2 linked regions of the Caenorhabditis elegans genome follow. The protein of the gene in region 2 interacts with the protein of the main gene of each other region in a biochemical or structural test. Each region holds a gene or a part of one and is shown on either strand. Other genes may lie near its edges.

What was found. Proteins that work in one complex are often made in the same cells at the same time.
Region 1: the proteins of csn-5 (region 2) and fbf-2 form a complex in vitro, tested with the Caenorhabditis elegans proteins (one study listed by BioGRID).

Annotation. Positions count from the first base shown.
Region 1 is NC_003280.10:6,086,137-6,094,959, forward strand, and holds fbf-2 (Fem-3 mRNA-binding factor 2), read right to left. Parts: upstream 5,345-8,823; 5' UTR 5,237-5,344; coding exon 5,195-5,236; intron 5,147-5,194; coding exon 4,913-5,146; intron 4,865-4,912; coding exon 4,689-4,864; intron 4,637-4,688; coding exon 4,384-4,636; intron 4,341-4,383; coding exon 3,727-4,340; intron 3,676-3,726; coding exon 3,547-3,675; intron 3,501-3,546; coding exon 3,297-3,500; intron 3,253-3,296; coding exon 3,006-3,252; 3' UTR 2,727-3,005; downstream 1-2,726. Other genes in the region: nspg-3 (DUF19 domain-containing protein), read left to right, coding at 5,684-5,946, 6,066-6,220, 6,264-6,360, 6,409-6,619; tpp-2 (Tripeptidyl-peptidase 2), read right to left, coding at 6,744-7,630, 7,679-8,022, 8,069-8,306, 8,352-8,822. UniProt on the Caenorhabditis elegans protein: RNA-binding protein that binds to the consensus sequence 5'-UGUGCCAUA-3' in mRNA 3'-UTRs. Involved in the control of stem cells and sex determination in the C.elegans hermaphrodite germline.
Region 2 is NC_003282.8:5,647,932-5,651,726, reverse strand, and holds csn-5 (COP9 signalosome complex subunit 5), read right to left. Parts: upstream 2,195-3,795; 5' UTR 2,192-2,194; coding exon 2,126-2,191; intron 2,076-2,125; coding exon 1,822-2,075; intron 1,774-1,821; coding exon 1,391-1,773; intron 1,145-1,390; coding exon 741-1,144; 3' UTR 648-740; downstream 1-647. UniProt on the Caenorhabditis elegans protein: Probable protease subunit of the COP9 signalosome complex (CSN), a complex involved in various cellular and developmental processes.

The DNA.
Region 1 (8,823 bases), on a different chromosome or scaffold from region 2:
GACCACATAGATCTTTTACTACGGAAAATACTTTTTTACTACCTCATTTTTTACTACGTGGATCTTTCACTACGGTTTCATATTCCGATGTTTTGCTACAGTTTGTATCTTTTGCTACGGTAGACATTTTTACTACAATGGCAGGGATTGTACTTTTCACTATGTTTCGTATCTTTTACTACTAATTTTTTACTACGAATTAAAAATTAATGTCTATAATATTTTATACTCTAGATATAAACAAATGTATGAATAGTTTTTTTTAAATACATAGGTCATAATTGTAGATGGAGTTAATGGAGGGAGACTGTTGGGTTACTGTAGTGGTATTGTGGGAGTAATTCTTTTTTTTTTCGCATAGCCAACAAATTAGTTCCATACCCGTTGCTCTATAAGTTTTGTCTATAATGTCTATATGTATAAGTCTATAATGTAATAAAAAACTTGCGGGTTCGGTCAGTTATCTGTCAGGTGTTTAAAATTTTGACTTCAGCTGACATTTTGAAACTTTTGATCAACACTTTAGAAATGTTTTTTTTCTAAATTTATCGAATCTTGTATAAAATTATTATTGTTTTCGGTCAATTTGAATGTTTATATCACGATTTTAGATTTGAAAAAAAAACGGAGATAAGTTGTCAAAAGTTAGTTCATAAAACGTATTGACTCCAAGTACCGATATCTCCGCGAAAAAACAATTTGGTAAAAAAATGTTCAACTGACAAATCGTAGATCATACCATATTCAACAACTTTGTAGTTGAAAACTATGACAAATAAATTGACGACCGAGATAGGATACCTACATTTTCATTTTCAGAAAATCTTCTGAGTTTTAAAACATTTATAGAGGACTTTTTAAATGTTTCTGAAATTTTTACAAAAGTTTTACAAGAGAGCAAGAGATCATATCGTGTTTTTTTTAATTTCTAGATCCAAATGGCCATAATAAGTTCTGCTCATTTCATAGTGAATAAATTTCCAGAAATTAAAAAAAACACTATATAATCTGAAAACTGTTATTTCCACAATACCACTACAGTAACTCAACAGTCTCCCTCCATTAACTCCATCTACAATTATGACCTATGTATTTTGAAAAAAAATTCATACATTTGTTTATATCTAGAATATAAAATACTATAGACATTAATTTTTAATTCGTAGTAAAAAATTAGTAGTAAAAGATACGAAACATAGTGAAAAGTACAATCCCTGCCATTGTAGTAAAAATGTCTACCGTAGCAAAAGATACAAACTGTAGCAAAACATCGGAATAAAAAACCGTAGTGAAAGATCCACGTAGTAAAAAATGAGGTAGTAAAAAAGTATTTTCCGTAGTAAAAGATATATGTGGTCAAATGGTAGTAAAAGAGATCACGTAGTAAAAGAGCCAATTGTAGTAAAAGATCTAAATGCGGAATTCGTAGTAAAAGAGATTCCGTAGTAAAAGAGATCTTGTAGTAAAAGAGATACATAGTAAAAGATCAAGTAGTAAAACAGTATTTGCCATAAAATTTAAGATTAAGAATAAAGACCAGTAGATGCGATTCCAGCAGTTGAAGATGCAGTACCAGCAAATATTCCAGTAACAACTGCTCCTATTCCAACTACGACTACTTTGTCACCGGAGGAAACCAGAGCTGCAGAAGAAAAAGAGAAAAAGCAAAAAGCCAGAGAATTGAAAGACTGTATTTAAGTAAATTCGTTTTTCTATTAAAATATAAAGTCATGTTTCAGATTATAAATAATACCGGAAGTCTGTTTTCGAATGGTTGAAAGATAACAAAGACAAATGGTCCGAAGTGATGAATATGTATACACAGTGGATGTTCTGGTTTCGCATCTAACGTTCTTAATTGGCTTGAAGATATGATACTAGGAGATCCAAGACGTGCCAAGAAGGGAGGAAAACTATCAGGAGATGATGCTCTTCAATCAGTTTTTCTCGTTGCAAGCCCCGCCTATGTTTTCTTGAGATTCAAGCAGAAGCCTGGAAGAAACTCTATGAAGGCTGGATTAGACATTGATGCATGGAACGAAATTGCTGCTGAACAAGTTCTTTAAGCATGGCAGAGAGAGTTCATCAAGTCACTTCACAATCATAAGGCAAACGTTGATGAGAAACAAAAGAAGAACATTGCATCCACTTGCATCAACATCCATTGCTGATATGCTCGAGGAATTCTGTCAATTCAACTATTCCATCATCATTGCTGGGTCTTGGTCTTGCCACTTGGTTTGGAATCGAATTCAACGCTGCAACAACACAAATTGTGTCAGGAAGTACGAATTTATCTTGACAATTTTAATTTGAAAGTATTTTTGTTTCAGAGTTCTAGCCGAAGAACATTTTCTCGATGTTGGATAACAATGAGAGGATTGCCACCACCTATACGAGGACCACATGAGAGAAGGACCGCCAATGTTCGCGGAGTTCTTCCTCATCCCCAGTATCCAATTTTTGTTTTTCTATTTTCTGAGAGTCCCATTATTTTGAAATCGATGCAATTGTAAGATAAATTTCAATATGATAATTGAACTATATTTATTCTTCATGGTTTCTAATTTGATTAAATTTACAAAGTCAACATTTGTCGGTTATCAGTTTTTTGTTCTCCGAGCAAAGAACAACTTTTCTCTTCGCTTTCAAAATTGTTTTCTGAGCAGGCATTGTATGGAAGCAGGAAGCTCTCGGTGGAAGCATGACAAAGACTCGAACGATATTTTGCCAAGTTGTCTAATTTTATCTGGATTCATTAAAATCGAAAATAAAAAATTAACAAAAACAATGAACAGTAAACAGAAAGAAACAATAACACAACTGCATAAAAAGCAATAAAATAACAAAAAAGAAAAGAAAAAACAAAACTGGGCAATGATAAGAGTGGGGAAGGCACAACATCGATCTTAAAATCGAAACGAAATCATTGCACCAGTTTAAAATATTACAAAACAACAGAACATAAGTGGGTGGGATGAGATTTATGGTGAGAAAGTTCCACCTTAATCATCGCCGTGACTACCGGAAGAAGAAAATTTGACAGAGACTGAAGACTTATTGCTCCGTGGCTCTAGCATCAGGCTTCCTTCCTCGATCCCATTCTTCTCCAACTCCGGACCATCGTGCTCGGAAGCAGTACTGAAGTAATCCGTCTTGAATGAATCGTGTCCCGAAGATTGGAGTTCATAAATCGGATGAGTTGAACGGAGATTGGCAAGCGTCTCGATCATCTTTTTGCCGGATGAGAACCTGAATTTCGAATTTCAAAATATTATTGTGACAATAGTGATAACCTTGACAAGCGATGCCTTTCTTTCGTAACTCTCGAGTGCAACTTTTTCAGCCAATCCTGGAATGAGATTGCATGGTCATAGCCTCCTTCTTTCGTTTGCCGTCTTCCAGACACAGCATCACAGCAAATAGTCAGCATGCATTGAACGACGTAGTTTCCGAATTGATGGAACATCATGATATCGAGGGCATCTTTTCCCGTGTCCCTGAAAAAACATTTCATTTTTATGTGACTGAAACTAATGTTTTTACGGATGTGGAATGTATCCGTCGAAAATCTCGTCCATCATTTCGGCAAGAAGTTCCAATGGTGCATGTAGGAATGCTTTCTCAACAACATGAGAAGCAAACTTTTCCTGGGACAACGAAAGAAGGTTGCGCCTGAAATATTGATGATTAAAAATCAAGTAGATATTAAACAATAACACTCACATGAGGCATTTCTCTATGATACATTCCCGATAAACGGCCAGATCATCATTGGATACAATATGCTGTATTATGTAATTGGCATACTCGTTCGTAGCTAATTCTTGGCACCGATTAGTCACAGAAGTCATGAGTCGTTGGAGCGCTCGTTCACGAAGATTTTGAGCAGCGGAAGTTAAATCAACGTTCATTGAATCAGCAGTGAGCTTTTCGATAATAGTTTGCACAACACGGCACCCATACTTATCAGAACAAATCTGACGGAGGTGCTCTGGGGTGGCAACGAAATCCACAATAAACTCCCAATTCTTCAGTGGGATGACTGCTACGACTTTCTGAATGACGTGATTGGCATTTTGATCAACACAGATTGCGATAAGACGAGCATCACGAGGTAGAGCTTGAACAAGTTTACACGCAAGGGATAAATCCATGTTCTGGAGACTGGATTGGATAACACGACACGCAAATTTGTCCAAGCACATATCTGTCATTTGGGAACTGATGAAGTTCTTCAACTTTTCTTGTCGCTTTGTGTATCCGTCATCATTAGTTGCCAATGAAATTCCAATAACGCTTTGTACCAAATAATTTCCAAAGATGTTCGTGCTCAATTTCTGAAAAGAAAAGTCATGTGTGCTCGCAGAAACTAAAACTTACAAGGAAATCATCTTTTCTCCCAATAACTTGTTCAAACAATTGGAACTTCTGATAAGATGTCAGGCTGCCCTTCACTGCCTTTTCTAGGAACTGGCACCCAGTTTTGTCAACGGCAAACTTCATTAAATCGCCACTATCCAAAACTTCAGAGAGCGACAATCTTGAACGCATTTCACCATTGGAATCCAAGGACCAGGTTGGCAGCACATTGTTTGATCTTGTGAATGATCTAGAGTTCCTCGACAGAGCGGGTCTATAAATAAAAAAGAATAAATACTAGAGGATAGTGATAAATTAATTCGAACCTCGAATATTTCAAATGGTAGTGTTTTGAAGAACCATAGCTCTTGCTACGATCAATATCCGCAGAGAAACATCGGACATTTTGTGAAAAATCATCCGACTCGAGACGCGAGGAATCCGTATCAGACTGAATGAATGATGAAGTTCGGCTACGCGAGACCGGCATGAACACATTGGGCTGCAAATCAGTAATGAAAACAACCAAAAATTGCCTACTCTAACTTACAAAGCTCTGAAAACTCCGAAGGCTCATCAAATCAGTTAGCGGGGTTGGTGGCCGCGATGTAACAATGTGATTCTGTTGATGGCGAGCATAATTAATCCCATCGTTCATATTGAGCATTGAGAAATACGGGTTGAGAGAGTTGAAGTCCCACATAGGTGTCTCATGCTGCGCCATTGGTGATTGTGCGGGAGTCGGATAACTGTCAATCCCTGTAGAAGGAGGCTTCTGGGAAGTCTGTAAAACTTAGGCCATTTGTTTCTTTAGAAGTTACTGAAAACTTACTTTTCTGAACTGATTCGTTCTGCGCATCTTTGATTGGTCCATGTCGATTAGTTGATAATTTTATTAGAATGATTACTCATAGAAAAATTATCAATTCACAGAAAATAGGAATGGGAATATGAAAATAATATTTAAAATCGAATTCGCAAATGACGAAAGTGTGTCACATACTCTGGTGTTTGCGTACTTTGTCATTGTCTACCGTAACCAAATTGAAATTTTCAAATAATGCGAGATTCTAATCACATGTTTCAAGAATTAAAAAGTGTATTTAAAATAATTATCAATTTGATTACTAATGATTACTAGAAACAATAAAAATTTTTGGAAAATTCCGGGACCGTAACATATCAAATTGATAAACACATTTCAACCTCCCGAAAAGCTATAAACCGGTCGACTGACGGTGACGACATTTTACGAGCTATTCTGTTTCAGACTAAACACTTTAAATTGCTCGAAACACAAAATTTTCTTTCCCTATATTTGATGATTTGGAATATTCTCGTTGTTGTGGTTACGATCGTTACTAAATCGCTAGAGACACTCGAAGTTGATTTAGCAGGTCTAGTGAAGCAAACCGTAGCGGGAAACGAAGGAGTGCTGCATAACTGCAGTTCTGATCAAGATCAAGTGCTACAACAATGTTATATAGATATGTTTCAATCATATGGTTCAAATGTGACTAGCCTTCCCCCAGCAGACGAAGATCCATTTAAGAAAATTCGGTACGATGCCACTGGAATGTGTAGGTATGTGAAGGTATTACAACATTGCAACACCTTTTAAATTGTAAAATTATTGAAGAATTTCAATAGAACCGGTTTTACATGCTAGAATAAATATTTTTAAAAAAGACGAATAATTACAGTACATATACAACTCTACGTCACTGTCATAGTGACGTCATCAATGATTGTCTCAACTATAACACTTTCAATGCAATTTTTGGTTCAGAAAGCAATGCAGCTTATTACATCTCACAAACGGGGTTTCTTGAATTCTATTGTAATTATGGAAATGATTGTGAGGTTTTTCATTCTCGTTCATTGTTTTATAAATATTTCAGTTGTGGCATATTATGAATGTATGCAAGCAATCAGTTTGAATGATCTCTCTGACACGATTTATACTGAATGTTCCGTTTTGGAAGTTGGCAGTTGCGAGTGAGTCTAATAGTTTCAGACTTATTGAGATTAGTTTTTAATTTTGAGCTCCGTATCACGAACCACACAATGTGAGCGAGCAGTAGTGAGAAAATCATGTGGAAATAGTGCTGTCAAATCATACTGCCAATATCAGAAGATTCTCACCCACATGACTGGGTGGAACTTCTGTGAGTACATGCCATGCATCAATTCGTCGCAACCTCGAACATTCTTCTTCTTAATAATTTTAATGTATCTCTGCAAAATTTTTGTTTGATCTCATTTATAAAACAATAAAAGTTTATCTATTCAAATGGGAAAATCATTTGATTCACAACGGAAATGGAAGCAAAAAAGCTTCCAGAAAAAAGAAACCCGCGAAATTTCTTATGATACACTAATTAGAAAAGACGGTAGGAGGTTCTGTTTTTGATCAGAGCCGAATTTTTAAAGTGAGTAGCAAGATGATTCCACTCGAGACTTTCGCAGACTTCAGCCAATGATGTATCAACAGCTTGCGAATCAGTAGCAGACGACTTCAGTTCATCTCCAGCTTTGTTGAGAAGCTTTGCACATCTTCCAAATTGTCCAAGAGCAGCTGCATGTTTGGCAGAGATCAGTGCAGTTTTAGTATCATCAGCAGACAACCAAACGAGAAGCTTGACGTAAAACTGATTTCCAGTCCAATTACTATCCAACTTTTTCAGTTCTTCAGAGACAGTTGCATCAATTTGTTCAGATTTTGATTTCAGTGCTTCATAACCTTCAGACTTCTTATTGATCACTTCTCCTTGCTTTCCACCGAAAATTAGAGGAGTGATTCCTCCGAAACGAAGACTTGCTGGAACGTCGAACTTGCTCTTACGAACTTCAATATCCTGCTCCAATGATGAAAGAGCTTGCAAAGCGAGAATAATACTTTTCTTCCGTTCCTCAAATTGTGAAATCAACTTCACCACATCCTTTCGCTGGTCCTCACTGCCTCCGGTTAGTGCCAGCCATTTGTCAACAGTAAGGAGATCATCATCATGTTCTTGCTTGACGGATGAGAACTGAAGAGTTTCATTCGGTTTTGTGATTTGCAAAATTTGACCACATAATTCAATAATCTTCTGCACGTTTTCCGGTGTTTGATCCACAAGTTTTGCTTGCATCAATTGCTTTACTCGATTCTGAAGTAGTGGGAGATGATCTGGATACTTCTGCAGACAAGCTTCGAAAAATTCTTTCGCTGCCTTTTCGTCTGTCAATTTTTGCACCCATGATACTTCCAAATCGCGAATGGCGTCTGTAAATATGAATTTAATAAAAGATACAATTTTTAATTATTATCTACCAGTCATTTCCTGATTTTGATTCGTATCTTTCTTTGTTGTAACCATTGACAATCCTTTCGTAGGACGAGTAGAGTACTCACTGAGAAAGTAAATAACTTCAGATTTGTCTACATCACTCAAATCAGAATCCTTGAGAGCACTAAATGTTCCAGCAAGGAAACTTCCACTTGTTGGTACGATAGTCTTTGGCAATTTATCATCAGCGATATTCATAGCGTAGACGGTCATTTCTTGATTTGGAAGAAGGGCTTTTCCAGCAAATTTGCACTCTTTTCCAAGTGTTGCATCGCTGGCAGAAGCTGCGAGGTCAACAGAAATTTTGTTTCCAAGTTTCACATGAACACTGAAACACAAAAATCATTTCAGTTAGAATTTAAAGAATTACTTACAGCAGAGGAAGTTCCTTCATTCCTTGCAAAACTTGATCATCCGGATATCTAATCTGAGCCTGAATAGTATAATCTCCTTTCTCAAGCTTCTGAGTCCAACGATCCGGGTACGAAGAAGAAGCACCCACAAACGACTTGTTTGCTCCGAAAATTTGGAAGAGTACACAGTCCACAGGAGATTCATACAAATATGGAGTAAGGCCAGCAAGTTGAAGTTGCACTTCACTTGGTTTTTGAACTGAAAAAATAATATTTTAATAATTATGTAGTTAAAAAAGGTTACCTTTAAGCTGATAAGTCAACAGAAGACGATTGATTTGAAGTCCAGACGTAAGGAACATATCACGTGGTCCCAATGGTTCTACTTTGGCAGATTGTGGTTTCAGTGATACAACAAGTGATTTTAGAGAAATCGAAGGAGAAACGTCGATACTTTTCGTTGGAGCAGCTTGGAAGCGAATGGGCGTGTTAGTTGCTCCATGAATCAGTGAAATAGAAGTTGGCTTTTTGACTCCAAAGAAGTCGATGGTCATGTCAACATCCACAGGATTCTTTCCACGTGACCAAGCACGAACAACACATGCTTCAAGAGTCTTTCCACCTTGAACAGTAATCGACTTGCTCCATTCATTTCCAATTGGACCCTGTATTTTTTGAGTTTCTGTGTTTCGGGAACATTTATCATCCTCAATGTAGACCGTATGAAGTGTAAATCTATCCATTTCGTCTTTGTTAGTAGATCGGAGTGTTATCTC
Region 2 (3,795 bases):
CTTATTAAAGCCACATAATTAAAGATAATTAATTCCGCCACAATAATCGTTTTTTTCTTCTTTGCCGTGTCTCATTTCATTTTGATCTACTCTTTCCTCCCTTCGGATTCTTTGATTTCCCAGTGAAATACCTCACCCACTTCAATCCCCACAAAGTGAGCAACCCCTATCTTGCAACAGTTTTATCATCTCTTCATCATACCCAGTTTGATAATTTATTATCTGATCCCCATCCCCTTGTCGCCTCTCATTAGTATCCTAGTTTTTCATTTGAGCCCGGAGCTCAGACTACATCTCCGAATCATCATACAAATAGATAGAAACGGGTCTCGTGACGAAAGAATACGTGCACCACACGACCCCCCCATCCTGTTCACCCCCATACACCTGAAAAATATGATCTTTACAGTTATTTCTATTATATCCTCAAATCTCTCGTAATATCGTATCAATTTCCTCTTCTTTTTTGTCATTTTCAATTTTTCTCAAATTTCTCAGATCTATTCTTTTTCTTGTATTTTTGGAACTTGTATCCCTCCTCCATCCCCAGACTTCCCCTTCCCAGTTACTCTTGTACATTTTCATATATGTCCATATATCGTTTGAATCTCTCATTTATGGAAATAAATTTGAAAAAATCAATCATTGAAAAGCAAAAATTTCATTCAAATAAAATGATGTTGGTGAATTTAACACAGAAAACAGGGGGACTTGATTTATAAATATAGACAAAACGAGAATTAAGCATCGGCCATCTCAACAGCGGGCTCCGGAGCAGATGGAGAAGGACCAGCCTTCTCGGGTTCAGTTGCCACGGCGATATCCATTGGAGATCCTGCAGAAGCATGGGAACATCCACAGCCACCACCAGCTTGGCGAGCAAACAATAGTTGTTTCACGAGATGAGAGATTCTTCCAGTTTCAAGTTCATCTCCGACTGCCTTTGCATCGGTCACGACTTTCATCAAAGCTTCATGTCCATCGACACTTCTGTCATTCAATTGGAGCTTCTTATCGACGGCCGACAGCTTCTGATTGATGTCTTGAATTTGATTGTTGAGGAATTCGACGTTTGAGAAGAGTGGAGAACTGCTGAGAGTGGAAATCCAATAGCTGTTCCACAGAGAAGTCAAGATGTGAGCGTCTGGAATTTTAATTATTAAAACGGGAAAGAATCGGAGATGTTTCTTTTTCAATTGAGACCAATTTCCCGTTGAGATGTTTAATATTATTATTCTTATTTTAAAAGTTTAAAATTTCAAGCTATTCGATTCCAATAAGTTTAAACAATCCAAAAAACAAAGCTTTGAATATTGGATTTTACAGTTGATTGTCCTTTATCGTATTTTTATTATGTAATTCATTCCCGATAAATATAAATTTCACCTACCAAGTTGTGATTTGAAGAAGCTGACGTCAAGCGAGTAGTATCGTTTGCAATGTACACCGAAATCCTCAATCTTTGCGAGAGGAATCGACTGATACTCTGATGGAACATCATCTGGTGGACGGTATCCTTCTGGATATGTACGGAATGCGCCAATGTCAACCTTTCCGGCAGACATAGTTCTCAATGGATCAATAACAATAGCAACCCATGGCTCTTGGAACTTTTGATTGAGTGTCTGCGTTGAGACGTCGATTCCGGATAGCCAGCATCCATATCCAGGATGAGAATGATACCATCCGACGACTTTCTCCTTTCGACCTTCCGTATCGCACATTTCAGAATAAACTGTCATGTACTCGTAGGCTTGAGCTTGGGCATTGACTCTGGAAATTTAAAATGTTCGAAATTACTCCCAGCGTAAATCATTTCACCTGGTCTCAGTACCCTCAACTGGAAGAGCGAATACATCAAGAATAATGAAAGAATTAGCATCGATTCGACCTTGCAAAAGTCCCATAATTTCCAGATTTCCACCTCTTTTCGCGTGCATTGTCATTTTCAGAAGAGCAATTGCAGATATTTTGATTTGTTTGAAATAATGTGGATCTTTATCCCATGGTTTTGCATTTCTGATTTCTACTTGCTGCTTGTTGTTGTACTCGAAAATCGAATCGACATTTTGGACCTGAAACACAAATAATATTAAAAATCTAAAAATATTTAAGAAAAACTGACGTTATTTTCTTTTTCCCAGTTTCTCTGCGGAACTGAGCTGGATGGCTTGACGTTATCAACTTCCATCGTCTGAAAAAAGCATTACCTTGCTAATATTATTAAGAAATACAATCAATAAGACGATAAGGGCATGAAAAATGATAATGAGATGATTTTACATGAAGAATTGAAACAAATTAAGTAATTCTCAGATTATAATTTTTTTAAATCGATTGAAACCAACAAAAACTAAAAAAAATCTGAAATTTGAAATGAGAAAATATCTGTTGTTATTCTAACAACGACACTCCAACTTTCCGTTGGTGCGCGTTGTTTACCGTAAACCGACACCAAGCGGATGTACTACAATTGGAAGACTTGATTTCATAGAAGAACAAATAAATAGGAGAAATGTATTAAAAATGATTATGGCGGAATAAGATATTTAAGTTTTAAATGTCCTAAAGACTGGTTATCCAGCTTGTTGCATTGTGGATCCCTTTTAGAGAAGTTGGCATTCCAGTTCAAAGGTTTTTGCTCAATTCCAGAAACATATCATCAATCTGGTGTAGTCTAGAATGTATACTACAAAATACTGAACCTCATCAATGACCCTTAAATCTTCCAGAAGAATATTCATGAATACTTGCTACTGCAAGCAAAAAGTTTTATAAAAGCCACAAGCTGAGCAAGAAAACATTTCGCAGAAAAAATGTTATCCGCAATTTTCCTGATTATCAACTCGTTGGTGACTGTTTCAGGATATTGTGTTAATTTATTCCTCCTCCACGTGGCAATATTTCATAGTCCGTCTATTATAAGAACATTCTCAATTGTCATTATTAACATGGCATTCACTAATTTTGGAGCATGTCTTAGTGGATTTCTGATTGGACAACGAGTTATTCCAGCTGGGAAACAATTATTTTATATTTCCTATGGAATTTGCTCAAATTTAGGAGAACAGTTTTGTTTTGATATGTGAGTTTGACGTGGAAAAAAAAATGAATGTCAATGGAAAAATGTTCCCGTTTCAAGAAGTTTTTGAAACAGAAGAAATTTGAAAAACAATTATATGTAGGTAGATCAAATTGTTACTGCCCTATTTTTATATTTATCTTAACATTATTTAAACGAGGTTTGGACGGGTTTAGTAAGATGAAAAATTTTTTAAATGGGAGAGGGCTAAATTTAAAAAAAATTAAGTCTTGAACTATAGAAAAACAATAAAAATGGATCATTGTCAAAAGGAATTTTTAAAAATCCTTTAAATCGATGAAAAAAATTAAAATCTAAACATACACTTAAGAAATGTATAGAGTGTTTAAAAATTTCAGTCAGAGTTTCGGCAAATTGCCAAATTTTTTTTGCGAAACTTTTCCCTTTTTGAGAAATTTCATGGATCTCTGCAGGTTTGAAATTTTAGAATTTATAAAATTAATTAATAATTTCGAAAACTCAAAGAAAAATTTATTTTTGGTAAACATCCAAAATTACGATTGCTGAAGCCTAGGACATCAATTAAAAATTAGTTCCAAAAAGTTTTTGAAAAATTTAACTAAAAGCAGTTTGAAATATTTTTCCATTATAGTATATATTTTTCCACATATTTTAGCAAATTAAATCCATCGAAATTAATAAAAAAAAGGTTTCCCCAACAAAGATAGTTTAAAAAAACAGTCTCCACCCAC